Linked DNA regions of Lepisosteus oculatus. The protein of the gene in region 2 purifies or fractionates together with the protein of the main gene of each other region. This does not show direct contact. Links are inferred from orthologs where the notes say so. Each region holds a gene or a part of one and is shown on either strand. Other genes may lie near its edges.

Region 1 (15,369 bases), on a different chromosome or scaffold from region 2:
ACCACAATGGTGAACTCTTCATTAAATTTGCTTTGGTGAAAACATGTTTAGAGTGACAGTCAATACCACACACTTTGGATGGATCCACTAGCTAACAGCTTCTCCTAACTCGCTTTTTGAAGATCAAAATCTTAATGACTAAATAGCAGGATAATGTGAGCTGCTTCATCTAATACTAATAAGGAGGATAATTATTTTGTCCTGATTAGAAACACAGATGCGAATATCAATTATCAATTTAAAGTAAGGGGGAATAAGAGATGGACATAAAGGAATATTCTACCTTTCATAGAGGTCAACCTATAGCAGTCATTTATTGCGAAAACCTATTGCATCCAAGAGTAAAATGAAAATGCACAACTTAAAGTAAATATTATTACCTTGGAGGACTCTGTGGGAAATCAGAAGTAGGATTTTTACGTTCAAACAGCAAGCCAAACTTGGTCGGCCACACAGCTGATACCTTAGAGAAAAACAGAAAAATATCCCCACTGTTTTTCAGCTTGATCTATGTGGATTGTGATTAGAAAAAAATGTTGAAGCCCTAATACAATCACTCTAAATGCTATCCAGGGTCAAACATGAGATGATGCCACAAGTTTTCTAAATACTGAAGTGTTTCGGATTTGAACACTCCAACATCATATAAACATAATCTTAATATTATATAGTGTCTTCCAAAATTATTGGTACAATACTGTAAAAACTGATTTCCAGTCAAGCAATTTGAATTTGCAATTATGGGGTAAATAGATTAATTTGAATAAGTAAAAGGTAATGTGCTTCATTTTCGGGTAATTTCAAGCATACATTTGAAGTGACCATACGTACTGGGACACATTCAGTTATGCCAATTTCATATATTAGGTTACATCTCTCGTAGAGGTTATAACAAGAGGTAACAACGATGCATGAAGTCTGCAAATTAATGAGCTCAACACGCACTGTGTGCAATCGCCTGCCTATTCTTGGGGTGTCTTAACTTGCAGCTTGTCAAAATCACTCCGTGTTGAATTCACGTCTCAAGATGACTCATCTACTGATTCACTGCTTTTCTGCCGCCACCATCAATGGCTCCATTATAGGCAATGAGAAGTGAGAGAGTTGCAGAGCTGGCCCTGCATGCCAAGGCCATGCTGATGTTCAGATGTGCAAAGATGAGCCAGTAGAGTTTTAGAGCAAACATTCTAAGTCCAGTTGAGACAAAGATCAACCTCTACCAAAGTAATGGATAGGCGAAACAAAGGAACTGCAGATGCTCCAAAGAACACCAAACATGAAACAGGCCGGATGTGACGTCATGCACAGCTGCCTCAGGATCTGTCAGAATGGGGGGTTCTGACAGAATCTTCAGCACTAAAGTCACAAAATTAGGAGGCAAGCAATTGGCACAACAGGAAAAACCCATCCGAGTTAACAAAACACTGACTGGGTGACTGATGGAGGATCTCAATATTTTCAATTTTAGGTCAAAGGAAAATTCTCATCATGTCAGGTTATAGAGATCTGAGGAATAAACAGCATCTTGTCAAGATTCTTCAGCTTCACACCACCACCAGCTGTGTTTCTAATGGGTTGGGCCAGGTATATCAATAAGGAGTCCAGTGCAGTAGGGCTGTGCATTGTCTTTAAAGATCAGCTGACACGAATGCAAACCTGTGGGCACAAGCTCTTTCTGCAGCAAAAGAAAACATGCATGGCAGGTTTTCACTGGAGTGAGCAGTAACTGTAATTCAATAAGAAGGTGTAAAAAATAGAGACTTTCCTCAAGAAAATCATTTTCGCAGAGACCATTTTCCTTTCTAGCAAGTAAATAAACTCAGGTAACCTCCTTAACTAGTCAACGCTTTCACATCTTTAGTTACAGATTTAAAAGGACTCTCTGGGCCCTATTAGATACCAAGTTTTGATACAAGGCAGGGCTGAATTGGAGGCCTAAATGTTCTAATTATTTTATTTGTTAAACAGATTTTACACTTTCCTGTCCAATATTGTTTGCTCAAAATGATTTTGTTGTGTTGTAAATGAAATCAAGCTCAGATGACTAAACAATAAAATTGAAATCTCTTCATCCTTTTTAAATATATCCAGCTGAGCTAATAATTAAAACGAATCCAGCTCACTGAGACCTTAATTTGGAACCAAAACTGGAAGACCATCCAGCCCCCCTTAGGACTGAAGTGTAATCCCCCTGGGCACTCAGTACATACAGGATGGCTAAGCCTAACACAATATTATTCTGCTTGTGTGCCATATTTGTCATCTATTTTAGTGTATTAGGATTTGTTAAGGGAGCATCACTCATAGTGCCTGTGGTCTGATCTAACTGATTTAGCAATTTTGTCATAGATCAGTAATCTCTGACAAAACACTACAAGGCGGTGTGTAAATTAATCGTGCTTAACTTTACGTAACAGTCAACAATGAAATAAACACCACACTGATCATGGGCTGTTTTGGAGGGAAATTTTATTTTGTGTGTACTAAAAATAAACTGATATTGATTCTATCACGGTTGTGAAAGACGGATCATATACTGTATTAAACAAGTGTATTAAAGAAGTGATCAATGCACCTTTGTGGTGCAAGAGTGTGTGAACATCCTGACACTGAGGATGCACGTTTCATTCATTTTTTCACTGCCATTTACAATACTTCACTGAATGACTAGTGTTGTGTTCACAACTAGCAGAAGAAAGGGAATCCTTATGTAAATGTTAAGGGATTTTTTATACAGTAAGACAGTTTCTGGTATGATAGGAAAAAGTCTGAGATCACAGAGACTGAGGTTCAGCACATTCTGCAAGATGGAGGTGAAACTCCAAGCTCTTAGTTTCATTTACTTTCTGCACAATTCATTCTCAAGTTTCAGCACCTGCATTACAACAATATTACAGACTGACTGAGACGCTTTTTGTATTCGTTTCCAACTGGGTTGCAAATAGATTAGATCACCACCTTTTTCCATTCATTTAATTTCTCACGTCTGATTCTAAGTGGTAGCAACTTCTGCAAAAGTCTAACAGTTTACAGGAGAAGAATATACTCATGGCATCATGCATGTAGTTTTCCATATTTTTTCCTTGCTCAGTTTTCAGAAGTCCTTTTGGATGCTCTTTTCGCAGGCACACTTATTCAGTGCCCCACGCAAGCAACAACCATAATTTGCCTCATAATCTGTTCAACTATAAATCTAGTATTTTCAGCAGTTCCTAAAGAGCTCGAGATTTCAGACATGCAAGTTAACTTGAAATCAACCGTTTGTGGAACTAAAAATGTCCAATCAATTAAATTAATAGATCAATAAAGGTTTTGGAGCTCCAACTATTGTAAATGATCAAATGCTGCACAACAGAACATCTCGGTGATTACGCCAGCACGCGATACCGATCTCCTACACGAGGCATATGCAACTTGGGATTTTCCATTCCAGGCCATTTCAGGAACAATAGTTAATCCTGAATTACTTAATTCACCCTAGTGCCAAAGATCCCTATAATTATTGAGAAAGAGTTATAGAAAACACTGCAATGGAGTGAAACGGAATAGCTAAAGCAGTCTATCCTGGCCTCAGACCACAGCTGTCCCAGCTCTCGCCCAGTTCACCCTGCTTGATTGTATGATAATTCAAATACTCCGCTGTGGAAAACCTAAATTAATGCAGGTGCACAAAATTACCTGAATCAGCCACACAATTAGTTGAGTGGCCTCTCTGCAATAATAATGGTTCATATGATTTCACAATAAATGCACCTGTTGCTCTAAGCACAGATCAGAAGAAATCTATAAAAAATGTAAAAAACAGATATCCTTTTGCCAAAGAACTGTGACTCACCTGGAAGGGCAAAGGGGAGATGAAGTCTTTCCCAGTAATACTGTGAACATTCACACACGTCCTCTGAACAACGCAAACAGTTTGCTCCACGACTTCTTGTTCTGAAAGCAAAATTTATTTATGCATCATCTAGTCTCTTGGCCAGGAGTGCGATTTTGTCCGATTCTTCATTGCACCTACCAAATCTTTTCGGCTGCCACAAAAGGCAACCTTTTCAATAGGCTGAGCTGCATAAGCCTAGATGCCTGGATGACACAGATTAATATTTCATACATGTCATACCCTTATAATTAAACAAAGGATTTCATCTGCTCATCTGGGATATTAATCCGCAGTCATATCTGAAGCCTGATACTGTGCTGCATGTTTACAACCAACAAACACAATGAAAGCTGATACACCGACGTAAAGACCCAGGGTTTTAATGTCTAAACTATAAATGAAAAAAAAAAGCAAAATTACCTTCTCTATCTTCCTCGGGTACACCAAAATTACACCACAAGGCCTGAAATAAACCATTAAACAATTTCAAATTCCATGTACCTCGATAAGCACAAACATAATACACTTTCATAACCAGTTCAAAGAGCTTTAGCCATGTCACAAAAGGATCACCGAGAGCAGTTTGAAAATAATGACTTAATGAGACTGCACGAAAAACAGGAGAAAAACTCTATTCTGGGGCTGAATGATGTATTTGATTTTCTTTACCCACGGGAGTAAAGTAGAGGCTTAAGAACAATAGGAGGGAGTGGATTTCCTTTGTCATGTGTACCTGTAGGACAGGACTGTCCACGGTGAAAGCCTTGTATACATACGAAGCCTGATTCTTGCTCCCCCGGCTCCATATCACCATGTTCCCAGCCGCATACAGCTCCTCTTCAAACTCCACCCCATGGACCTCTCCACCAGCTCCCTTCCTCAGCTGCCAGCTCTCCTGAGCACAACAGAAAGGGAATGATCCATAGCCCATTCTTCACAGGTATGATGATGACTGGCATTCCAGGAACCGCCAACAATTTCACAAAATACACCCATAACGATGAAAACTTTGACTAAATCCACCACAGCTGTATTTGAGCCATGAAAGTTTGCAAGTTTAATTTTAACAGGCATCTCTTCCTCCACACCATCTTACTAGTATTAGTGATACTGATTATTGATATAATGTAGCTCAATTAGAGTCTTTTGTCCTGGGATGTTTATGTTATCAATAAAGCATATTGTATCCATCTGAATAAATCAAGTGTTACAGTTAACATGCCATGACGCAGCACAAGCTGCCACAATTAAATGCTCGTTATCAAGCCAAAAGTAAGAACCTGACCAAAATGGCTTTTCACGACAATGTTAGAGAAACACCCACATGCATCACCTGAAATCGACAGGGGATACCTGGAAATAAACTTCCAGCAAAGCAATGTGGGGAACAGAATCAGGGAGTGGGGGAAAAAAAAGAGTTGAAAATGAGAGAACACACAAAATGCAGCAGGACAGAAATAAATCCGAAAGGGGGCGAGTAAAAGGAAATTCGAGACATTACCCTCTCCTTTTCCTGCAGCGTTACCTCCCGAAGAGACCCCACCAGCCCGGCTGCCCCATCGGAGCACCACAGCTCGGAGGCCGGCTGAAGCTGTCGCAGCTGCAGGTTCACGGCGTTGGGGTGATTCTTACAGTGCTCGCGACCGAACGGAACAAACTCCTGCAATTCACCTGCGGCTATCATTGTGGCTCTCTCTTCATAGACGTTCGACATGAGTTCCAGATATCAGCATTATTTCTGCAGGGGAAGCCAACAGGTAAACATGATCTGGATAAAAGCCAGCCGTTTCCCCCACCCCCCAGGATATAAAACATATCTGAAAGAAAATTACCCCAAAAAAGCTGCAGGAACTGGAAAATGAGCAGAAAGCAAAAACAACATAATCTGACAAAAGATGTAATTTGCTTATAGCGTTTTATTTGTAGGTGTTTGTTCATGTTTGTGGCCCATACTGTTCTGTTTAAGAGTTAGGTTTTACAAAGTGAGAAAACACTCTGCACTTTAAACAGCTGACAAGAAAAAGCAACTCCTCCTTTCCGTCAGAGAGAACCTGGGGTAGGGATGAACTTACTGAGGTCATGTCTATCTTGGAAGAGCTTTCCAGAAAAACAATCAATGCTTTCTACATTTGGTTAAAGCAAACGAGCGATTTCTAGGAGTTTGTTGTCCGATTTCTTAATTAAAAAAGAGTGAAGCACTCTGAGTATAGCGCACTGCTCAAAATTGTGAAAGGCATAAACAATGATATCAACAACAACATGGTCAGCGCAGTGATGTAGAAGTGACCCGCAGTAACAGCGGCTGGATGCATGTGTTGTTCCATCCTACTATTCCAGCAACTTCCCAGACTACATATTTTAGGAGCCAGATAGTGGAAGAAAGATAATAAACGAGGGCTACGGATAAGTGACAGCAGCAATATTTTAGAACACGGGAACACGTGGGCATGTCGTAGCACGTTACTAGTCAACATTTCATCTAGATTCACAATCTAAGCAGTGTTAATTAAGCAAGACTAGTTTAAGCAAAACAAGAAAAGCACGCACTTTGCCTTAATGTTGAGGGCAAAACGTCATTCTCGGAAACAGCTGAACGTTGGATAGCTATTAAACTGTGCCAGGAAATAAACAAGGGATACGGACAAACCTGTTAGTAACGAATCGTCTACCGCCGGATCTCGGAGTCCCTTGATGTATTTACGTTCAATATAAGAGGATGACAGTTTTTGACAAACTGAAACAAAACAAACACTGAATTCCGTGGGGAAAAAAGACCAGACGTAAAAAACTAAGAATAACAACACAGGGATTCAAATGGACGCGGCCATCTTGATATCCCGTGAGCCTCCGCCATATCGCTCTGACCAATCAGAAGGCACAGAAAAATCAACAGCGCGGACGGGCGTCAGCCGAGCCGAATATTCCTCCTACAGTATGTAGACAACACAGGGAAGTAATTTCATGCAGGGATGGGTTTGTCTGTCTGAGAAGCGTAATTGGAGATGATATATGTTTGACTTTGCTTGCAATATTTCATAGTTTTGCGGCGTTTCTAGAGACTTTCATAAGAAACCCGCTTAACTGTGGAATCCAAAAACACCACAGCTTTACAAACCATGCAATAAGGGATATCGATCTCGTGAGAAAGCATCAACATCATTCGAAATATCCCTTCTCGACAATGACTTCCCAATTAAACAAAGCGCAACTTACTGGTCAATAAATGTCCTGTGAGGATTGTCAGAGCAAATACAGTGATAAACTAGTGATTTAACTTACAGCTAGTTCGGAAGTGGAAAGTGTTCCTTAGTATATGAACTATTATTTGCCTCAGTATTATTCACATCCTCAGCATTCACTCACTTTTCAGTTAAATAATGTGTCACATGTTTTTGTCTAAAGCAACTTTGGCAGACATTGCCATGGTAAACTTATTATTAGGGTTGTTAGATTCAAAAGCACATACATGTAGTACAAATACAGTTTATCTGCATTGTTGTACTTGTAGTAATTACTGTATCGCTTCCTAATACAAATTTTAATTGGCCATATTTATTTCTTTGCCAACAATAGACTAGATAATTATTTTCTTGCAAGACTTGTTTATGTATCAATGAATCAAGGCACTGACACAGTAGAGATGGAAAACCTTGTTTTCGATAAGACGGAATGCAAGCTTAAAACGCATGAAGTAATTATATAACGTACCACATGCAGTATGCAGTTGCTAGATGGATAGAATTGCCAAGCTAATCCACATGAGCACACTGTTGCACATGAGAATTTAAAGTCATCAGTGCTATTGAGGACAACCCTGCTTCAGTCCTTGAAAGAGGAGGGAGAGAGAGGGAAGGTCTTAAGCCCTATCCTGAAGGCACACTCTCCTGCTGGTCCCTGCCAAGCTTAATTACTTAACTGAAGACTATGTTGAACTAACAAATTGCTCGATTGGACCATAGCCATGTGTTATACTCATGCAATCAATTAGTACTGCTACATATGAAATCCATATGAATAGTATGGATTCATATGAATCCATATTCTACATATGAATAGTTAAAAAGCAGTTCCAACATGATATGCAGAAGCATATCATGTTGGAACCAGTCTGAAACCAGTCAAATAGCTCAAATGAATGCCATTATGATATCAATTGTGTAACTGAGAGCTTGGTTGGAACAAAAAATCAATATGGACCTTCATGACCAGGATTAAACATTCCTGTTCTTTGTCACCCTTAAAAAGAATCAATCTGTAAAGACATGTGTTTTGAACAATTTAGTAAGTGGAATATTGTCATGTTTTATTGCCGTGAAACGTTTAAAAAGAAAAGGGGTATTTATGCACACCAAATGGATCTTCACCCTCCCCTGTACAGAATGTGTTTGTACCTTGTTTAAGATTTTTGTGTTTGTATGTTGTAATAAAGATGAATCATCTAATTGTTACCTTTGAATCTCTCTACGTAGACTTGGAATATTCATCACAAGAGAACAATTTCAAGTTGCTGTGTAAAGATTGCAGAATTTACTCTATAGCAACCCAAATGTCGTTGCATTTAAAAGACGTATGTGGAATAATGAGCAATAATGTGTTCATTAAAAGACGTATGTGCAATAATAAAGCATCTTGACATTTGACGTGTTTCTCAGCTCCTTGCTGCCATCTAGGGAGGAAGGCGAATGTCACTTTAGGGTCGGAAAGCTGGAGGAAGACCCCATGATTAGGGTGGAAGAAGAATACTGGTTCTGGTCTGGATTGCCTTGCAGTTAGAACCAGAACTTTCAGTCAGGAATGGCAGACACTGTTAAAATTAGCATGAGTGAAAAGTTTTATATTGGCCTGTATCAACTAATAGCAACTGTATTTGTAATGCCATACCACCACTGTTTAAGGAAAATAATTATCCTGAATTACAAAGGTAATGAGTCAATTTATGTGTTTCCTATCCCACGCTGTTTGTTTTAACTCACCAAAAGGTCCCACCACTGCAGGGTTCTGACACTGCTGACATGAGGGAAAATCTGGTCCCTGTTTTCCAGAGCTCATTAAACAAGTCATCACTGTCACGACCGTGTTGGATGAACTGTGGTGAGTCAGACACATATTAAATCTGATAATGGGTCGTCTACAGCTCTGGTTGAGAGTCTAAACCAGCAACCTCCCTGCTCTCACCGCCAAGCCTTGCTAATGTCATGGTGGTGTGGGGGAGAGGGGCTGTGATGTCTGAACCTCAGACACAGCAGCTCATTGGTCCCAGAGCTCATCGATGACTGAGAGCAGGTGACAAACACCAGTCCACTGCAGGGACCTCTCCTTAGCAATGTTGGTCTCCCCCGAACAGCTGGGTGGCCAGGAACAACTGGGGTACGGTGCCTCATTCAAGGTACACCAGCACCAGGACTCGATACCACAACCTGGCAGTCAGGGGTCCAAAGACCCACTATGCTACACTGCCCAACGTAATTGAAGTCAGCCAAAACAAACATATAGATTGAGGACGATAGTTCTCTTGTTTTTAAATTTTGGCAGTCAGATCAAGTGCATTTCAGGAAAGACAAGAAATAAGTTTGGAAGCACTTTTTAATATTTACAACCCTAACAGTGATATGACAATAATAAATGTCTCCCCCATGTTCAAATAATGAACAGATTTGTGTGCTAAATATGTAAATATGTAATATCTAAAAGCATTACAATTTATTCAAAAATTAAGACTTTGAGGAATCGAAAATGTTTCTAGTTTTCACTACACTAAAGTTTTACACTTTCTCTTATTTTGCTGCAAGCAAGGGGGCTCACAAAGCTAATTGTAAAATGCTGAAATATTTTGTTTTTCGCTCAAAAATAGCCGAAACATGCTTGAGGGAATTTAAGTGGTAGACTCAGTTTGGAAAGGAAAATGAGGAGTGTTTTTTGCACTAACGCGAGTTAGTTCTGTGAAGTCTAACCTTAAGAAAAAGTCCCAGGAATCAACAGAACGGTTCTTTACACGCTGGTGAAAGTATGTTGTTAAGATAAATCAGGTAAAAAAAACTACGCACGTTTTGTGAAACGTTGGATGAAGGAGCCATACATGGAATACCTCCGAGAAAAAATAATAGGTACCGTTGTACATACAAATTTTGCAAATGCAAAATACTGAAACGGAAGGCGAGGGGTAAGCTATCACTAATTCTACATTTTGCACGCATCGTTAATGTATAATCCCTTGGTCTAGAATAATTAAGTGTGAAAGCAAGCATACCGGTATGTTAAAGGACTACATTGTTCTAGTTCTAAATTTGCACTGGTTATATTATATAAAATGCTCGTTTCCTTTTTGCTGGGCTGTGTCGTCGATTGGAAATTCAGAACTTCTCTTCTTTATCTGACTTCATTACTGATGGCCTTTAGCAACGGACATGAAAAATGATTCTCTGAATCCAGAGTCACACAGACCGCCACTCTCCTCCGCTCTTGAGACGTTGGTTTTAGAGAAGGACACAAAGTGAATTAAAGTTTAGTTAACCCAGCGCACAGTCTTCTTCCAATATGGTCAGTCAAAAGCAACGGAAAATATCAGTGACATGTGAAAATTAAGATGTCTCATTAACGTCAAATAAGATGATATTCATCACGCCAGCGACTCCGTTCTTAACCGACAATAATGATTTGATACTGTTACCCGGCTGCACGAAATCTGTTAATTAGGTTTCAGGATATAGAAAAAAATAGCGCATTCAAAACTGAAAGAGGTAAGCACATGACAGATTGAGGTGGAATCATGTATACAGTCTATATACAGTTCTTGCCGATTAATTACACCAAGCCGTACGGAACATGCAGCATTTGCGTTAAGGCTTTCCAGCTGGTTATAGGAAGCCCAATAATAAATGCCTCTGTCAGATAATCGTAGCCAAACCCAACAAGAGGCCGAGAAGAAAACGGCAACAGGGCAAGAAAATGTCATCTGAAATAAAAAAAAAAACCTGGAACGTGATCGCCCATGTCTAAATGCTTTCCGTAACCTTCAAAATTCAGATCCCCCGAGTCCCTGCCAGGAAGGGGTTGGACTTTCGGGGGGCTGTTTTATTGCAGTTGGAAAGTGATTTAATCTGGTTTCCTTGTAACGTTTGAAATCCCAAAGCAGAAGCTAGTATTTGCAACCTGCAGGTTTGCTTCCACATAATATGCAAGGCAAATCATATCCTCTACCTGTACTCTTAGCAAAGGTGTAGCCTGTGAAGATAACATCGTAAAAGTCTTTGGTGCCATATAACTGTATTTTATTTTACGTGCCCTAGATGCATTAATACCTTTCGTTGGAGTATATTTTCATGAATATTTATGAGGATTTAATAACTCAGAACAAGGGATTTTTCCAGGCATATCTGCGGTGTGTATTTTGGCTTCTACAGCTTTCAATGACCTTTAATAAAACAAAAACCTTTGATAGCAGATTCGTATTGCGGCGTTTTGATACTGGAGGGTTTATCTTGAATATAATCATTTTTGTGTATACCGACATGTGTTTATGCATTTATATCTATCTTTGATTTCACAAGGCAATAGAAATCAGGAGTCCACGGGTATAAACGTGCTGGATCAATGGAAATGGAATAAGGACAGGGGGGTTTCAGCTTCGTACCGTCAACGAGGCTGTGCAGTCTTCCAATATTCGTGAGAATCCCAAGGTAGACCACAATGAAATAAAAGTCAGATTTCAGAACGCTTATTTGGTCTTATTATTTTTCTATAATACAATTCCACCTTGCACATCTGTCAGGCACTTCAGCAGTTTGTTTTTAATACTCCCTTTTATTCCATTATTACTTCATGTTTTCTGTGCTGCAAATGTAGGCTGTGGCAACACTATACGTGCCTATTTGCACGTTTATTGGGTCTTCTCAGTCCAGGACAAATCAGGACAAGATAACACCAACAACTTAGAACACACAGCTTCTGGGACAAATATTAAAGTCATATTTTCTTAAACTGTGCTGCTTACCAAGAAGAAAAAAAAATAAATATGGATGGATAAAGTGTCTTTTCCTATTTGTGAAGTGCTTTGGAGAGTTCTGTACTAACCAAACATCCAAGAATCAGATTCTTTGGAAATATGTATTGAGTAATTAAGTATAATAAGTTTTGGCTTAACCAACTTGGTTAAGAGGTAGCATCCTGGCCAAAGGACAAGGAGACTAACCCCCCCACCTCCACCCCATTCAGAGAGGGGAGTTAATTAAGGGGCAGTAGCAAAGGTGGAAATGTGGTTGGGGTGGGATGAATGCACCAAAATGCGAGAAGCGCCACGTGAGAGAGGAATTTATATAATAAGTCGATAATTCCACTGGGTGAGATTGGGATTGTCTGTCGTTATCCCTCACGAACTGCTGCTAAGAACTTCCATTTCATGAGGAATAATGTCATCCAAGGTGCTTTGTGAATGTGTATTGAATATTTAAGTGTCATAGATTTTTGGCTTTACCCAGAGGAGGCTTGATCCCCCAAAAGCCAAACTAGTGGACCCCAAAACCACCAATGGAGAAGAAGAGACAGAAGGAACAGCCAGGCGCAGTAAAATAGGAAATGCAAACATTAAAAAGAAAAGATGGACGTTGAAAGCTGTCGGATGCCTGCCGGTTGAGCTGGAGGGAGATGGTATCAAGAGGAGCAGGGGCCACGAGGGAGAAACCCGGGGGTCACTCAAACCCCAAAAGAATCAAGCGATCCCCAAAACAGACAGAAGGAACATGGCGGTACAGAGTTTACATTAAAAGAGAAGGCAGCCATTAAAACATCTGGGATGCCTGTTGAAGGAGCCAGAGGTAGGACGCTGGACAGACCCTGGGCCTGAGCAGCAGGGGCTGAGAGGGGGCTGCCTGAGGCCAGAGTGGGACACCAGGGATTGTATAAACTGTAGGACGCCTGCTGGCTGAGCCACAGGTAGGACATCTTACAGGCCAGGGCCCAAGGAGATGGCATCAAGGGCAGGAGGGGCTGGGAAGGAGATAACCAAAGCCAAGCTGAATACCAGAGAATAGAAACAAAAGAAAGTGCAGAGGAGCGGCTCAAGATTAAATTAAAGAACACGAAGGAAGAAGGCTTGTGGCTTGAACTTCTGAGGAGCACGGACCGTGTAGAGATGAATAACGTATGAGCCAAATGTAAGACAAGTAGCATATGTTTTCTTTTGTTCTGTCTTATTGTTATTTTCCTGCTTGTTGGCTGAAGCACAGTCCACATATAGAATGAATCTGACAAAAATGCAAGAAGAGGTGTGCGCAAGGGTTATTTTCTGTGTATAGTGAAAAGTCGGTAATGATTGGGATCAGCTCGATGAGACTGGCTTGTCTATTGTTATTCCTCCCAAATGTCAGTTAAGACCTTTCATTCAATTAAAATAAAAAACAATGTTATCAGCTACTTTTAATTGGTGCAGTTATACAAAGTACAAACAGTGACCTGTGCATCAGTATCTACTGCGGCGAAGAACCTTCATACTAAGTGACTCTTACACAACACTGAGCTATTGTTACAGAATCCACAACAGAACATTTATCCTATTATTTGCTTTATCATATTCACAGAGCTGCACTGGTAAATGCAGAGTTGAGACTGCTGGGCAGTAAATTCCAGGAGCCTTTCTTCCCCACTCATGAGTAAGTCTTTGAAGTCACGTTTCAATGGACAAGTGCTTTCAGAAAATTCATCAGATGCTTTGGACATAGTTGGACTTTTGTGGGTACCTAAAATACAAAGAATACAGCAACATCTACAAACTGAAATATCCACCATTGCCTCAGGTGGAAATGGAATGACTGTTGCTTGCAACATTGCAGAGACTGCAGACAAGAAGAAGGCCTTTTATTTGGTTTGCTTATTGGGTAGTTTAGTGACCACGTGAATCTAGAACTTCATCTAACTGTTTCTTGAAGGACATCAGACCTTGACACTAACCACCTGGCCCGTATGCCTCTTCTCTACTGAGTGTGAAATAGTCTCTTTCAATCTAATTTAAATCTTCCATGATCAGTGAAAAGATTTAAATGTATATGAAAGTCCACTGAGACTTGGAATAATTTTTGCTGTTTTTCTTTAAACTTCTTCTGATGCTCTAAACAGACTGTTTTTTTAACAGTCTGGTGACCAAATCTGAACACACTATTCTAATTAAGGCCTCACTGGTGTACTGTAAAGCATGATCATAACTTTCACTGTTTTTAAATTCAAAGTTTTGCTTTCCTATTGCTTCGACCCCATTCTCTTCACGGATGGCTCAGTGGCGCTGTAGATAGCTTTGCAATGCTAGGGCCCTGGGTGCAATTCCCGGAGTGCTGTGTGCGTGGAGTTTGTATGTTCATGTGGGTTTCCTGCAGGTGCAGTGGTTTCCTCCCACAATCCAAATACCGGTAGGGTAATTGCCTTCTGGGAAAATTGGCCCTGGTGTGAGTGTGACTGTGCACCCCATGATGGACTGAATCCTTTGTGATCCCTGTATTGGATAACGTAGTTAGAAAAGGGATGGATGGACGGACATCCTCTTAATGAGGTGATAGATGAATATTATCCATTATGGTATTGATATGGCTTTAACATTATCCAGACCCCCTCATCCATAGATTTCTGTTACTCAGAATCATCCATGTGATATGTAGAATGCATGTTTCTATGTGGATTGCTTTGCATTTACTAATTTAAAATATCATTTGCCAAATTCCTGTCCAATTCTAGTAAGCTAGACAAGACCTTCCCTTTCCTCATAAGTCCTCATATGTTTCAAAACTCTTCATAATATTTTTATATTTGGGACGAAATCGAACTCCTTGTATCGACAGGAACTCCTCGTATTGAAAGTTTCTCAAGACTCTTCCATCTTACTCCAATGTTTGAAGGTCAAAGCACGCATTTATAAAGGATGTCGCAGGATGTCATGTGGTTCAGGAATCTAGCCTGTTTGGGGCAGCGTCTCTCTTTTATAATATAGTTTTTTCATCCTGACACATCTCAACAGATGTGGCCAAAGATGTTAACAAGCTCTAGACGGCCAGCGAATCCTTTAAGAATTTAATAATACCTCTTAAATGCCCTATTTATCTTGTTAGTATTGAAGGAAATGCAAAATACAATTTTATTAGCATCCCAGAAGAAATTATATAATTTCATTGACTCTGATGACCTGTAGTCTCAGGAGATATGCATGCCGGGCTTTTGCTCCCATTATAATTCCACGTCTTCTCTTGGGTCTTGGCATCAGCTTTGGAATCTAATGATGCTCTGAAAGCATTAGCATGGATAATGTCTTTACAATGCTTTAAACTCTGCAGCACATACGGCTTCAGTGTTTGTTAAATGATACAGTAAACAGCTGCTATTTATTTAATTCTTCTGATACAGTGTTTTGTTTTTAGATAATGTGCTCCTATGCACAAGTGTATAACTATTTCTTGAAGGACTAGGCTTAGGATGGGAGTGTGGAGCACTGCTCATGGTTCCGAACCTGTAGCTGA
Region 2 (15,378 bases):
CTTGTTTACAATGTGTGTACATACCCAGAAATCGAATCTATTTTGTGATGTAAATTGGAGGTTTTACATGTTACTGTGTACCATCTTACTTTCATTGTGCTTTGAAAGGCATTCATCAATGCCGATTCTTTCTAACCCTGAAATATAAAAATAGCGTTGCAGGTCCCCTTCAAAGAGCAGACTGCACTCCACTCTTAACAACAGGAGTGGACCTGGACACACAGCCAGGCAAGTAAGTACCTTGATCTTACATTGAACCAAGGCCTTGAGCATACCTGGGACATGTGGCTATTTTCTGCAATTAAGCCCAGTTTGTGAGTCTGTCACATTACTAAGGACTGGCTTACAGCAAAACCAGACCCTGTAGATCCGAAGACCAGATTTGACCTTCACATTGCAGCACAGAAATCAGCTTTCAGAGAATTGTGAGGCTGCAAATGGCGTCAACTGCATAATGTACTTTCCTTTAACCTTACAATACACAACTCAAGAGCAGTACTGGGACTCGGGGTAATGTCAGACCAAATCAGACCTCTCTTCCTTACCATAGCCTCCATCTCAGACTCTTCTTCAGAAGGGCTCATATAATCCTTCCTCTTCCTCTTCTTCACTGGTTTCAGCAGCTCAGGGTTCAAAGCATCCAGCTGCATTCCCGTGGCCTTCTCAACATCTGCAGGCCTGAGAGAAGACACAGGTTTCTCTATGGATGTCCTGCCTGTCGTGGAGCAGTCTATCACAAGAGGCACTGTGTGGGCACTACAGGGACGGTCAGGGCTGATGTAGCACGTGCCTGTTCAGTGAACAGTTAGAACTAAAAAAAAGGTGAAGGTTTTTGTGGAATCTGTTCAGAGGAGACCATCCAGGTATCTTTCTAGACATGAAGGAATGTCCTACATGGAAATCCATGTCAAACAGGAGCTGCGTTTTTCCATAAAGGGTTGTAGGTGTATGAAACAAGCTACCCAGCCATGATGTGGAAGCCGATATCTTGGCTTCTTTCAATAAACAGCTGGATCAGATCCTCAGATTAATTAGCTACCAAATGGCCTAGGAAGGACAGATGGCTTCCTCCTTTTTGTAATCTTTCTTATTTTCTTAAAAGGTCAACACAGGAGCAACTAAATGCCCATTATAACACGGCTGCAAATCTTTCTCTCAAAGAATGTTTTGAACAGGGGGTAAGCTTGTTTAGCTTTAGCTGTCACGGTGAATTGACACCAGTGCAATGTCAGCTGTATGAAAGGTCATTCTAACACAATCCTGCCTGTCTCGCAGGCTGTCCGTCTGCTCTCAGGCTCTTACTTGTCTGTGATTGGCTCCCTGCGCAGCTGCTCTGTGAAGCCCCTTTCTGCTGCTGGGCTGCGGCCTTCATAGCTCCCAGAGCCCCCTTCCGGCAGCGGCTCCTCTTTAATGGTCTGTTCCGGTTCCTGTGGACAGCCAGTGGCAGGACTGTGGGAGATACCATCTGGAGAACAGGGGGGAAACCGTCAGGCACCTCAGGACACGTTTCACTTCAAATGTTACCTATCACCAGGAGTTATTTACAAATTACAGTCATACACGGCAAAGTTATTGGGATAATTCCATCTGATTCTCTACCAATAAATACAAGTTAATATTTCAATTATATTTGTGTTTTACGCAACAAGAGGATAAAGTGTTCAAAACAAGCTTTTTGACCTGCACCAACCTGAATGGGTCAGCAGCAGAAAAATATAAAAAGAAATACTGCAATGTCTTCTTTTTGTCAATAGAGGAGTCTGCACAGAAACCTGCTCCCTTCACCTGGTTTAAGGGCTGACTTCCCGTCTGTCTCCATCTCCTTCCCAGCAGCCCCTTCTGCACTGGGATCAACGAATGGCACCTTCCTGTCACTGACGACTTCCAGCGTGCCAAAGTCATTCATCCGGAACTGCGGGACACACCACCCCCTTTTCAGTACACGTGTAAGTACGCGATGAAAATATTCCAGGACACCTATTAATAGACCGACTGGGAAGTAGAACCACTCACTGAGCATCTTCAAGAGAAATGGAGGAAATGAAAAAATGAAAAGTGAACGCAGCTAAGAACGTTTCCAAGAAAGGACCTTAAAACTGAAAAGGAGCACAAGCTCTGAACATCAAGCGTTCACCACCAGTGTTTCTGCAAGACATGATGATTTCAAGGGTCAATGTTCTGAAATCTGGGACATTTAACTAGACATTCACTCATTCTGCACCTCTGGTTTAGTTCCACAAATCAACAGCTATTACAGCTATTTTACCAATATAACCTGCTTAGGCTAAGTATACAGGATTTAAGTCAGCTAGAGGAACTGTGGATCAAAACCTGGAGGACAATTTAGGGCAGCCAATCAGTCCTACCCTCCAGATTTTGAGAGGTGAGAAAAACCGGAGCACAGCACTGGAGGCAAACAAAGAGAGAACATCCAAACTCCACATTTAAGGTACTCCAGTCCAGAATCAAACCCAGGACCAGAGTGCTGTGAGGCAGTAGCGCTAACCACCATACGTCCCTTAGGACGAATTAAAGAAGCAGACAATACCATACCTGAGGCATTACAGTATATCTTCCCAATCTGGTCCTTGTGAGGCCAGTGCCTGGTTTTCAATCCAACTGAGCTCTCATTTACTTAACTGAAACCTTCACTGAAACCTAATTAGATGTTTGCTCGTAATTTTCTTTTTCTGCTAAAACCAGTTGATTGCTATTATTCTTCATAAGAAAGAATACAATAGTTCTTAAAAAGCAATTTAAGATTAGGAAACACAAAGTAATCCCTATCATTCACTAATCGAAATATTTTCTCAATTAAGGGTTTGATTAAGTCATCAAGAGCTCAACTGCAATGAAAACCTGCAGACACAGGGCTCACCAGAATTAGGGCTGATAAACCCCGTGTTACAGTCAGTCACATGTTCTGTCTTTCCAATTAGAAGTTTCCAACGGAGAAGTAAAGGTATGAGGTATGAGCACATCAATCACAACAGGGGATGCAGCTCCATCCTCATATCAAACACCTGACATTCCAATTTCAAAAGCTCAAATCCACAAATATTTCCCAGATTACACATTGCAAGAGGCCACCATTTTGGCCGAGAGCTAACTGGCAACAGAGGAGATCCAAGGAGTGCGGCGACCCAGGAGACGACAAGGCGGGAAGTCCCAGAATACCTTGAGGTTGGTGCCAGGGAGCACGGCCACGCCTTCCTTCCACTCCAGCACGTGGACCACGCTGCAGGCTCCGCCCACCTGCGGGGTCAGCGCGGAGGTCACCGGCTCTCCAGCCCCGCCCCCCTTCAGGGGCTCCATGTGGCCCCTGGGCCCCTCCCCATTGCGCACGCCCACGAGAGTGGAGCTGGGGGCTGGGAAAGAGACAGCAGGCTGGAGGAGCACTGGGCTGGGGGGGCCGCGTGCCCTCCAACACAGGGCACGCTGGAGCCTTTCACCCACGCGCGCCGAACTGACTCCTGCCCTCAACGGACAAACAGCCCCCAATCGGTTTTCAGAAACAGAACCTTCATTTTTCAAGCTACTAACTCTGATTAGCAACAGATTCTGAAAGCCCGATTAAGGTTTCTTCCTGTTTTCTGAAGAATTCTGCTGATCAGTGCAACCCATAACTACAAATTAAGTTTCCTATCAGTCCCTGTCTATAAATGAGCCACTGCTCATATAAATGAAAGAACCTGTGGCCTTTTCTTTGTCCATCATGAATGTTTCTGAATGGCCGATACAACAATATTTCAAACCTGTTACTGACTCACACACTGGCTACTTCCAGTTTGCGTGTGGTGCGAAAGGGACTAGTCAAGACAGCTGTCTCTCCGGGCCTATGTTTCTAAGTTCTCTTAATGGAGTTTTGCGTTTAATGCCATTACTGAAGGGTGTGATGAAATAAAACTGGTTTTGCTTTTCAACCATCCACAGGCAGTAGAGGTCAATAGCAGAGGTCTGTTCATTCCTATTCCTCTGTTCACAGATGTTATCACTGTGTTGAAATGTCCTGCCTCTGATACAGCAGTGTGGTGCAGTGGTTAGGGGTGTTGAATTTGGACCTACATGGCTCCGGGTTCAAATTCCACAGGAAACGCTGCTGTTCTACACTTGAGAAGGCTACATCACCTAAATTAATTCAGTGAAACACCCAGTTATGCAAATGTGAGTCACCGCAGTCAAATAAATGAATCACTACAAAATGAAATAAATCAGAAATAATATCACATGGTTCAGAATGCCATGCAACTCGAGTGCTGACACTTTAGTAAACAAGTCCAGAAACCAATGTTAAGCTTAATTTCTCTGAAAAACCTGGAGAAACTAAGGAAGACATTTGTGATGCTGTCGTGAGACTTCATGAGCTTTCTGGACATTTCATCAAGCTATTAGTGCAGAATCTTAAATCGCTAATAACACAATGACTAAATACCGCTTAGCGAAAAGGATAAAGTCAGCATCTAAGGATCTGAGTCTATAGTGGCTGATCGGTCTCAACCTGCTTGTCATCAGGTGGAGCAGTGGCTCTGTGGCTATGGATCTGCACCTGTGGCTGGATGGTTGCTGGTTCAAATCCTGTGGCTGGCAGAGGAATCCTACTCTGTTGGGCACCTGAGCAAGGCCCTTCACCCCAACTACTCCAGGGGTGCTGTACAATGGCTGACACTGCGCTCTGACCCCAAGCTTCTCTCCCTGTCTGTGTGTCTCATGGAGAGCAAGCTGGAGTCTGCAAAAAGATGAATTCCTAATGCAAGAAATTGTATATGGCCAATAAAGTGATCTTATCTTATTATTAATCGAGCTTATAAATCCAGCTTTCATTCTCCTGCATTTTGACTGTGGGCTCGTTAGTGCCCAGGAAATGTGCGTCGCATTAGCAGTGTAATGAGAGCCTTGTGTGTGAATGGCTGTGCTTGAAACTTCGAGAGCCATTCCTGGGGCACTGTGTGTCAGAAGCACAAGAGAGATCTAGTCAAGAAAAGGCCACAACGGAACAGAAGAATCACATCACAATTGTGTGAAGATGAACAGCGGCATAAATACATGAAACAGAGCACTACCTTTCTGATCTCAGTATGTTCACCGAGTTTATAACTTCATACTTAAGCAAGTATGTAACCAAGCTAACACAGTACTTGCTTAACTGGGCAAATTTGACATATTCTATTTTTGCAGCTTTTACAAATTTAAAGAAATTTATGCTGTGATTCCAGAAGAACTATGTGGCTAACTTAGATGTACCCACCATCCTCAGATCAGTACGCCTATAAGCAACCAAAATAAGCAACAAAGATCTCCTGTGACAAAGAGCAGAGCTTTTCAATCAACGTCTCCGTCACACAGCACACAGTGTTTGCATAAAGACAGTTCAGGAGCGATCAGCAAGTTTTTTTCCGAATCCATGGGTTTTTCAAGAATACAGAGTACAAAGCAAAGCTCACTATTTTTTTTTAAAATTAAAGTCTATTTTGCTGTCATTTGACAATGTTGCTATTGCGATGCAGACATCCTGGGCTAGTGTGACCTCTAGGTCAACATTTCCATAGTTTTCATGGATATAATTGGAAGAAATCAGATAATTTTCTGCTGTCCTTACGGCATCTCAGAGCTGATATTTTCTTTGCTTGGGCTGTGATGGATGCAAAGGGAAGTCAGGGATCACTTAGTTCTTATGTCTTGCAACGAATAAGCTGCAGAGCATTAATACTGCACCAGCCCCTGTGCTGCACAGGACTGTGCCGCTGGGAGTGACCTCACCTGGCAAAATGAAAGCAGTGGTCTGGGCCTGGGGGCGTGTCTTCTGCACTGAGATCTCATTGGCCGGGAGGGGGGCGTTGCCTTCAGTGGAGGGGTTGTCTCCGCCCACCACCAGCACCTCAAGACCCACTTTCCTGCTCATCTCCTCGGGGACTGGTGCCACCGTCTGGCTGTGATGAGAGGCAGGTATGGGTCAGTGCCTACAGCGGTGTCCCAGAGACACCCGGGTAGCCCTTGTGATGACGATCCAGACTGATTTCACCCAAACCAGCGCCTCATCATTAGAAAAGCCTCATAAATTAGGCAACAGATGTTGCAGATTTTGAAAGAAATTACAATATTCCCAACAGTTTCTTGAGTGACGTAACTTTCTTTCCACAGGTTTCATGCAGTGAATGGAGAATTTACCCTATTATATACAGAAGTATTCTTATTTTATTATAAATCAGATAAGATTTCATTCAGGTACCCAAATGCACGTAGTCTGGGATGTCTTTAACAGGGGACTCTACTTCTGCTACAGGGAAGTGCAGTTAAATCTGAGAACAAGATGCACTACTTTACACAAAGGGCTGTGGGAGTCTGGAACAAGCTTCCCACCCATATTGTCAAAGCTGATACCCTGCTTTCTATAAAGAAACGGGGGAGACCCTGGGATCAATTAACTACTAACTACACTACAGACTAGCCGAGTCGAATGGCCTCCTTTGTTATCTCTTCGGCTAGTTACAAGTAACCCGGAGAGCAACACACTTGGCATTCCCCGGATCGTTTAATCGTAGCGTTCATAAAGCGATTGTTTGAGCGAATTACACTGCTAGACACAGGAATGCAGTCAGCTGTGATCTGATTTTGGAAGTTGTATGTGCTGCAACCTGAAACGCCATTTAGATCAAACGCATCTTTCACGTTCAAAACCTCTAGCGGAGAGGCGGCGGTCTCTCCCCCTGACATTATTACCCAGACGGCGTGAAGTACTGCGGAAACTCGTGGGCTTTTCTATTTCATAAACATATTACCATTACCGGTACCGGTGGCGGTTTGCATTCGGTCCTGACAAAGATTTATCCGTAACATCTTTCTGAACCATGTGAGGCAAAACACTGGCTACACGTTACGGGGCGAAATATTTAGAGGCGCAGAGCTGTTTCTCCAGCACTGTTAAATAGTATATACTATATACCGTCTTTGCGCCAGGGTACCTGCAGTACGCTAGACACCAGGAGCGCTGAACCTTGAAAGCAGTATTAAAAACAATACAACCATTTTTTTACACTTAGTCCACAGCACCGACCTCGTCTGCGACTGTGAGCTCCTTCATCTCAGTCCCTTATTTCACAAAGAAACCAGTTTGTCATAGAGAGTAGCCGTCTGCTTTCTTCCCCCAATTACAGGACCATTATTAAAATGTGAAACCCTAGCAATTTATAGCAAAATGGCGGCATGATTTAACTCTTTCAAGAATCTTGTGCGATGTAGGATTCGACATGCAGCTTTTCATCAAAGTGCAAGGCGTTGAATGTTTCATCTACTGCTGACAATATTTAATTTAACGTTATGCAACAGCAGAGTGGAACCCCATTTCCCCCCTAGATTTACTAGACAAAAGAGAAACCGAAAACTACCCCAAATACCACAACTGAGGTTGTCAAAAAAACCACAGCTTAATCAATATGGGTTTATTATAATAAGATGACTATACATTAAAAATGAAACATGCTTAATGAAATGTAAGAAAACTAAGAACCTTCTCAACACCTTAAGATAATGCTTATGACTACAGTTAATCTAGAACACCCCATGCTATTATTCCGTTTCGAGATGTAGAAATAATAAATCGGCACAATGTGTGTGAATGAACCGATCGGTCTTACCAGCGGTTGGTTCTCCTTGCGGCTCCGGGCGCAGCACTGCGCATGCGCGAGCCGCGCACCGGGCATGCACACAGGACTGCAGCGGCTTCACAGCCCAGCCGCGCCGCTAACACTCACCGCGCTGGGTATGCGTTTTAATTCACACTCGACAACTGTCCGTCAAACTCCGCACTTTATTGGAAATGTTTTTGTTGGCACAATCACAGCCCCTAAGAGCGGGTTTTTTTCTCCCGTATTCCCGCGACGTCTTCACTCATCTCTTCTCGCCCTCCTGGGTTTCCCCACAGCGTCCGGCTGATCGAGATGAACAGGCAGGGGCCGCTTGAAGTACAAGCCCGGCCTTTCCTGCATACATCGCAACACCGTCTTCTCACATGCACCTCTTAAGGGAGACTACAGACGCAGCCCCCGCCGCAAAATAACGCTTCCAGCTTGTTTCTCCAGCTCTGTCTGCAACACTCCGCTTCATTGCTTTGGTGTGGAGTTGACCGATTCCTAAACCCACGGAGGCCACAATGTCTGAATTGCGCGCAACATGAGGTGCCCTTGATGTTTACTCTTAAATTCAAGAGCCAATTAGCACAAGCAACTTCAGTTTCCACAGTTTTAATGAAAACTGGTGGTTTATTGACCTAGGGCAAATCTGCACACAGACCCCCCACTTTTTATCTGGGCTCAGAGGTGTTGCAGGCACTATACCATGAAGCAATTTCACAGCACCCAGTTCCCTTACACAAAACGAGCCACAGTCATTAACTACCCTGTTTCTCAGCAGTTGAACACCTAAAAAGAAAACAAACTTCACATTTTTCCATAAGAACCTTTAATAACTGTACAGTAAAAAGTTCACATGCTTATTTATGGATTACACTTTAGCAATAAAAAGTGCAACTCATCATGAAATACACATCCAGGTAAAGTCCTTACCACTGGCCAATTTTCCAAAGCTGGTCTCAAAAGATCCAAATGTTTGAACATGTCAATTTGACTGCTGTGGCAACAAAGGTGGAGCCAAATTGTCAACATTATACCAAGGCAAGGGACTCAAAAGAAATCAAAATCACTGCGGTAAAACAAGCCACAGGATATTCTGAACTTTTGGGGGGAAGCAAAAATTGCCTTTTAAAATGCAGATACAACCTAGGTGTTGTGGATGCACAGGGACACCCAATACTGACTCAAACCAGGACTGCAGGGGCGATCAAAAAGTGAAATAAAAAAAAGGTCAAGCAAGCCAGGCATACACAAAACTATGACTGTGACACCGATGTCTCCTAGAAAAATATTAAACAAATCAAAGAGTTCATCAGGTATTCAACTCTTGGCACCCCATATCCTGGCTCACATATGGTCTCAGGCCAAACGTACAAAAATCTGAGTTATCATTAGAAACTGCAGCTATTATCTCAAGCACATGAAGGAGAAAAAAAAAAATTAAGACCACCGACCAAATCTTCAGCGCTCAGAGCTGCGTTTGATCAGCTTAAACCAATTACAAAATCACCCCCTCCTCCGAAATGGCGCGGCCGCCCCCGCGACCGGGCCGCTAGTCCCGCGAGCCGGACCGGGAGCGGGACTTGGAGCGCGACGGGGACCGGGAGGGGGAGCGCTTGGACGGAGACTTGGAGCGGCGGCTGTCTGCTTGGGGGGAGGGGGAGGGGGAGGCCGACTTGGCCCGCTCCCCCTTGCCGTTCTCCACGGGGGAGGGGGAGCGGCTGCGCGACTTCTTGCCCACGGACTTCTCCTTGGAGCGGCTGCGGGAGTCGCGGTCGGACTTGGCCTTGGAGCGGCTCTTGGAGCGCGACTTGCGGGTGGCGGACCGGGAGCGCGACTTCCTGCTGGCCGAGCGGCTGCGGGACTTCCTCGTGCGGGACCGGGACCGGGACTTCCTGGTGCGGGAGCGGGAGCGGGACTTGTGCGCCGGGGACTTGGAGCGGGACTTGCGCGCCGACCTGGAGCGGGACCGCCGCTTGCTCCTGGAGCGGGACCTACAAGGGAGACGAGCCCGAGGTGAGAGGGGTGCGGCGTGTCGAGTGCTCGGAGGAGCCATGCTCTGAAGGGTGCGCGAATCTAGAAGGGAGGCTACTTTACCGGGAGCGGGACCTGGAGTTGCTGCGCGAGCGGCTGCTCCTGCGGCTCCTGCTGCGGGACCGGCGCCGACTGCGGGACCTGCCCAGACAGAAGGGTGTGGCGGTCAACAACCATGAGAACAAGCATTCATCAACTGCAGCCGCGAGAGGACACCGCCAGGAGAGGCACCATTACAACACACGGACACAGCAGGTGAACGGGCACAAAGCAGGCCTTTCCAGTCAAAAGGTATGGTTAACTACTGCATGTCTGAGCAACTTAATGCTCAACGCCTGATAACCGGGTAGGAACTCTGGGTAAGAAACAAGGGCACCCAAGACAGACATTAACTGGACCGCCACCGACTGCACACCGCGGCCATCGGAGGAACCGTCCAGAACCACCACACTGAATATACCGCACCTGGACCGGCTGCCAGAATAGGAACGCCGGCGCCTTGGCCTGTCCTCCACCAGGCGGATCTTCCTTCCGTTGATGTCCGTGCCGTCCAGCTTCTCCAGAGCCCTTCTCATATCGGAGTAGGAGCGGAACTCGATCACGCCCTCGTTGGTGCGCTCCTTATGGGCGTCTGCATACGTCACCTCTCCAGCCTGCCGCATGAAATCCTGCGAAGAGCATGAGGGACAAGCGTCTTGGTGATCTGAAAACACAACTACACAGAACCATTAAATAATGAAGGCACGTTTCAATGGCCTCTTTCTATCAAACCAGACTAAACTAGGAAATCCAACAAAAGCTCCACCACCACAGTAGCAAAATTACCTTTATTTAAACAGGGGTATGTTTATTCTATTACTGTTACTAAAATGTTAAACCACAACATTAACCTGTCAAGACTGTGAGCAAGCCACTGCAAGGGGAGCTACAACGAACACTATGGCTTCGACCCCCTAACCAGCCGGTAAAAGACCCTGAACTCACCTTAAGGTCTTGCCAGCTGCAGCGACTGGAAAGGTTCTCCACAATCAAGCGGTACTCAGTGCGGACAGGAGGCCCATACTTGTCTCTGCCGGAGCGGCTTCTGCTGTAACCACTACTACCTTCAAACAACAGGGGAAGACAAAGTCAGCAGTGCATCATGGAGAGCTGGCAACTTCTCCATAGGGAGTTAAAGGGGAAAAAACAGCCACTAGCGGGATATCAACTACGCATGATAAAGATTTTTGGCTCTAGTCCACCAAAATAGTTCCTGTGGACTCCGCTTTCTCATGCACAGATAATACCCACAGAAACAACCTGTTCCATCTTAACTCTGGGACAAGAAAATGGTGTTCAGGCAGCCTTGGCAGGTGTGGCTTTCTATATCTTCAGTCAAATGCCAACCTGTGTACTGTACAAATGTTACTGTACAAATACTAGGAAGTGTTTACATTGCTGTTCTCTGTGCACCGGCCAAAGAACAGTAATGCACTTAAAACGGTGCCAAAAGCTTAAAGGACTTATGCAACCAGTTCATTGCCATTCACTGGGTAATGAACCCACAAAAAGATAATATCACAGGATTTAAGTCACTTACTCAGGTTACTCGGCTCTCCAAACCACGAATGCATTTTACAGGTAGGCATTAACCCACTCGCTTGCTGTCAGGATGTCTTAACAACAAGGTGAGACTACTGGCAATGATTATAAAGCTTAACCACTGCCATACTAAGGTTGAGCCAATCAGACTCACAGCAACTGAAGCCAACTGCTCTTTTACAAAGCAGGATAACAGATGGCGGTAACATCTTGCGTTGGCTTTAACCGCTCCACTATTTGTTTGAACATAAAAACCAATGGGATTCCTCACCATCACCCTGGTCTATTGGCAAAAGGCTGCTGTCATCATGGCTTCCGGTTAGGTCAGCCAAAGGGTCAAAGGGCAAAGGTCACACACACATTGTAAGGTGAAAGCCAAGGCCAAACGGGACAGGCAGTCATCTTAGCCTCAATGGACTCGGACTCAGCCTCAGCCCGCACTGGACTCTTTCAAATTGAAACATCAAGGACTTTGTTAATGTTGAATTCAATAGTAAACAATGCAACACATTTTTAGGTTATTTACATGGCAGCTGGGCTTTGCACTCCTTCACACTTTGCTACGAAAAATTAGGAATTCTGGGTTAAGCTTCACTTTGCTACCTAGCCCAATCCCCACTGAGCTGCATATACAAATGCCCTGAAACAATAAGTCCACAACACACAAAGGCAGCTATCCTCCACTACTCTAAACCACCTAAATAAGGCCAAATTAACACACAGCTGCCATATAAATAGACCTATCCTAACATACTTCTCCCCCCACTATTAAACAATCTGAGCTTTAGCTTGAGGGGCCTTCCACTGCAGGACTGCAAACCCTTCCATGGCTTCCGACATCCTGGAAAGAGAGGTCCCTACACAGGACCTATGCCACTTGACCAACGCATGCCTATCCAGCTGAAGTGAACTTCAGACGGCAGTGCAGCAACATGTTCAAGTCCTCCCTCACAACGCAGGTACCCCTTCTTGAGCCTGTAACCCCTCCAGTATTACCCTAGAATGGGATTAAAACTTGTTGGTTTGAATAATGCAAACGTCATTTAAGAAGTCACCCTCTTCAACACACGAAATCCACAAAACTACACAGGAATTTGCAGTTAAACTCATTTGGTGTATTGCAATCTGAAAAGCTTGGCAAAAGTCAGAGGATACTTTTAGCTTCCCAAAACAAATCTAGCATTCAGATGTTACAAAGCAATACACGGTCAAAGCATGAAATTCAGTTTCCCTAGCCCACTGCTCAAGCAACGTGTGTAAGATAGCTTAATGTAAACTGGCAGCACATATCCAGGAATCTGCAAAAAGTCAAAGATGCTCAGATTATTTGATTTGGCAGTAGACGGCACTTACTGCGTCCGCCATAACCCCCACCGTATCCATCTCTGTCCCTTCGTGGTCCTCGGGCGTGCTCCACGATCACCCGCTCCCCGCACAGCTCCTTCCCGTTCAGCTCGTACACGGCGTCGTCCGCGTCGCGGGTGTCCTCGAACTCCACGAAGCCGTATCTGCAGGGGGTGGAAACGCGTCACGTTTGTCGGATCAATGCACGGCGCGGAGGTGAACACGAAATCAACATGACCTCCCTCCACATCGTGATGCGCGTTAACATGAGCAGAATCTCACACACACCCCCCCCCCCACCAGACCACAGCCACCCCCAAACTTAACCAAAACACGATTGGCGTTAGAGCAAACGTGCCCTGGCCCAAACCTGTGCTCCTCTTCACGTTTAAACAAAGGACTTGCGCCCGCAGCGATGCAACTTCCATTTGAACGCATCGATCCTCTGCCGTAATACCAGTCAGGACGGGCCTGCCGCGGGCTGCCCGCGCCCCCTCCGCGGCCTACATCCTCCCTTGCCCGCTCTTTGTCCGCACTCTCCGAAAACGCCGGGCCTGCGGACCAGCAGCGCGTCACGCGTGGCCGGGTCGCCTCCTCCCGGCGCGGCGTGTCCAGGCTCGGGGAAGGCGCGGGCCTGCGAGCACTCGCGCTTGGCTCCCGCCGAGAGCCGCGTCCCTCCAGCCCCTCACGGTCCTTGTCTCCAGCGCGGCCGCCATTTTGTCCACGCGGCAATCTCTCACCGGGCGGCTGTTTTTTTCCTCTTACGGTAGCTAAGCAACGAATTCGCAGTACGGGATTCCCACACTGCGAAGCCTCATAATCCGGTCCAGCCGTGAAACGGCGCTCGTTTTTCCACAGCGCAGTAAACACAAACTACGCATCAACAGTCGGCGCACGCACCCTACCCCCACCTCTCCCTTACCCGTTCTTCAGGTCGATCTCCAACAGCTTCCCGTAGCCGCTAAAGAACCTCTGGATGTCCTTCTCACGGACATGGTAGCTCAGCCGGCCAATATACACACGGGGCATGTCTTCGAAATGCTTCGTCTTCCTCTTCTGACGAAAGAAAGCGCCCTTCTCTAACCTTTATACAACAACAGCCACCGTCCAACCTCCCTGCTGGCGCATGAAGGAACCTCGCAACGCTCACGCTCGGTACTTATACTGGCGCCTACGTCACCCTACGCGCTACGCTACACGCCACGAGGACACGGGAGAGCGCATGCGCCCCCGGCTGGCTGTGAAGTTAGGTTGCAGACACAGTTGTTTTTAGCGCATAGGTTTTGACAGGTTGCGTGCAGAAATCAATCAGGGAAAATACAAGTTTAATTCTATATGCTGTGCATACTGCTCCATCATTATGGTAGACCGTGTGTATTTCTCAAGTTACTCGTAGCAGCAGGCCTGCGTCCGTAGGTTTAATTGTTCTTTCGAACCCAAAGTTTTATGAACTCTAAAGTAATTGAAAAGAAGAGAGAACTGGAGTTGTGTTGCACCTAATAATCGTGCAGTTGGAACAGTTCATGAGATGAAGTTTTCTTATTGATAAGATAGTAATATGCTTCTTTCGACTTTAGTAAGAATGGAAAACTGGCAGCACAGTAAACGTTATATCATTTTATTAATAGAAGATCTCCGATGGTCATTTTTCACTTTTGTTCGAAAAGTGAAATTAAGTTTCTAACCTGTCCGTGCCGTGATACATATGTGGCGACGGGCAAATAATGGAATAGTACGATATTTCAAATTCAAAGTTTGAGTTGTTTTTCCACATAAATATAAACAGCAAAAACATATTTATACCTTGGGACTAAATATACAACAGATATTAACAACAACAATAACAACAATAATAATGGGCTGTAACATTTAACACGAATACATTACAGGGCAACAAGAAACTGAATCGGATTTCAGTCTGAGAAAGGTCGATTCTTTCACCTCGAGTTATCGAGCGTTATCGACCGTTTTGGTGCACTTTCAACAGCGACTTAAAAACCACTAGGTGGCAGTGGGGGAACAACACATTTACTATTTTAGAGCAGGTTTTCAAAACGTTCTGATTGGCCGGTGACTCCCTTTTAAGAAATGCTGAGGAACAGTTAAGAGGTTTATTCCGTGCTGAGAAGAAACGGCCCACTCGTGGAAAAAGCTCCGTAGCCGAAACATTGTGTCTCTTTCGTTTTCCTTTCAGCATGGCATAAACCTTTACCTGTTTCTTTGCATCGGTTTCTTGCACGGTTTCATGTCGAATGAAAAACTGTATACAAATATTGTACGCATTTGGTCACCGTCTTTCACGAAAGGTATTGCTTCTTGGAACGAGTCTAGGGAAGAGTCCTGTGTTTAGGGGAATGGTCCACACTCACAGGCTAAAGGAATTGGATTTTTTTAAGTTTTGAACAGAAAATACTTTAACTTCAGTTCAGAATCCTCCAGGGAAAAAAGCAAACCCAGTGGACATCTTTGGAACCATTAATGTGACATGAACCAGGGCCCAAAGAAGGGACATACTGGTTTATGTCTCATTGGGGGACAGTGCATATTGAACTAATATTTTGAGATTTTTACACAAAGGGTGGTGGGAGTGTGGAACAAGCTGCCCAGCCATGTTATTGCAGCTGATATCCTGTTCCTTCACAAAACAGCTGGATGAGACTCCCAGATCAGTCAGTTGCTATCTACATAACAGGCTAGGAGCACTGAAAAGGCGCCTCTCTCATGTGTTTTCTTGTGTGCTTTAATTCAAACAGATAATGAAATTAAAGTCTGCAGTGATAGTGATTACAACATT

What was found.
Region 1: the proteins of l3mbtl1 (region 2) and anapc1 purify together in Homo sapiens (affinity purification with mass spectrometry; 4 studies listed by BioGRID and IntAct, counting the BioPlex papers as one, with this or other methods). This does not show direct contact. The link is inferred for Lepisosteus oculatus from reciprocal best matches to the Homo sapiens genes L3MBTL1 and ANAPC1.

The regions. Positions count from the first base shown.
Region 1 is NC_090712.1:2,589,533-2,604,901, reverse strand, and holds the start of anapc1 (anaphase-promoting complex subunit 1), read right to left. Parts: upstream 6,762-15,369; 5' UTR 6,525-6,761; intron 5,616-6,524; 5' UTR 5,592-5,615; coding exon 5,379-5,591; intron 4,773-5,378; coding exon 4,611-4,772; intron 4,341-4,610; coding exon 4,298-4,340; intron 3,937-4,297; coding exon 3,836-3,936; intron 464-3,835; coding exon 381-463; intron 1-380. UniProt on the Homo sapiens protein: Component of the anaphase promoting complex/cyclosome (APC/C), a cell cycle-regulated E3 ubiquitin ligase that controls progression through mitosis and the G1 phase of the cell cycle.
Region 2 is NC_090711.1:14,081,132-14,096,509, reverse strand, and holds the start of l3mbtl1 (lethal(3)malignant brain tumor-like protein 1), read right to left. Parts: upstream 8,339-15,378; 5' UTR 7,676-8,338; coding exon 7,632-7,675; intron 7,254-7,631; exon of another isoform or gene 7,052-7,253; intron 5,928-7,051; coding exon 5,758-5,927; intron 3,369-5,757; coding exon 3,178-3,368; intron 1,913-3,177; coding exon 1,786-1,912; intron 1,466-1,785; coding exon 1,303-1,465; intron 679-1,302; coding exon 546-678; intron 1-545. Other genes in the region: serine/arginine-rich splicing factor 6, read right to left, coding at 9,178-9,619, 9,723-9,800, 10,125-10,327, 10,644-10,762, 12,594-12,748, 13,507-13,613. UniProt on the Homo sapiens protein: Polycomb group (PcG) protein that specifically recognizes and binds mono- and dimethyllysine residues on target proteins, thereby acting as a 'reader' of a network of post-translational modifications.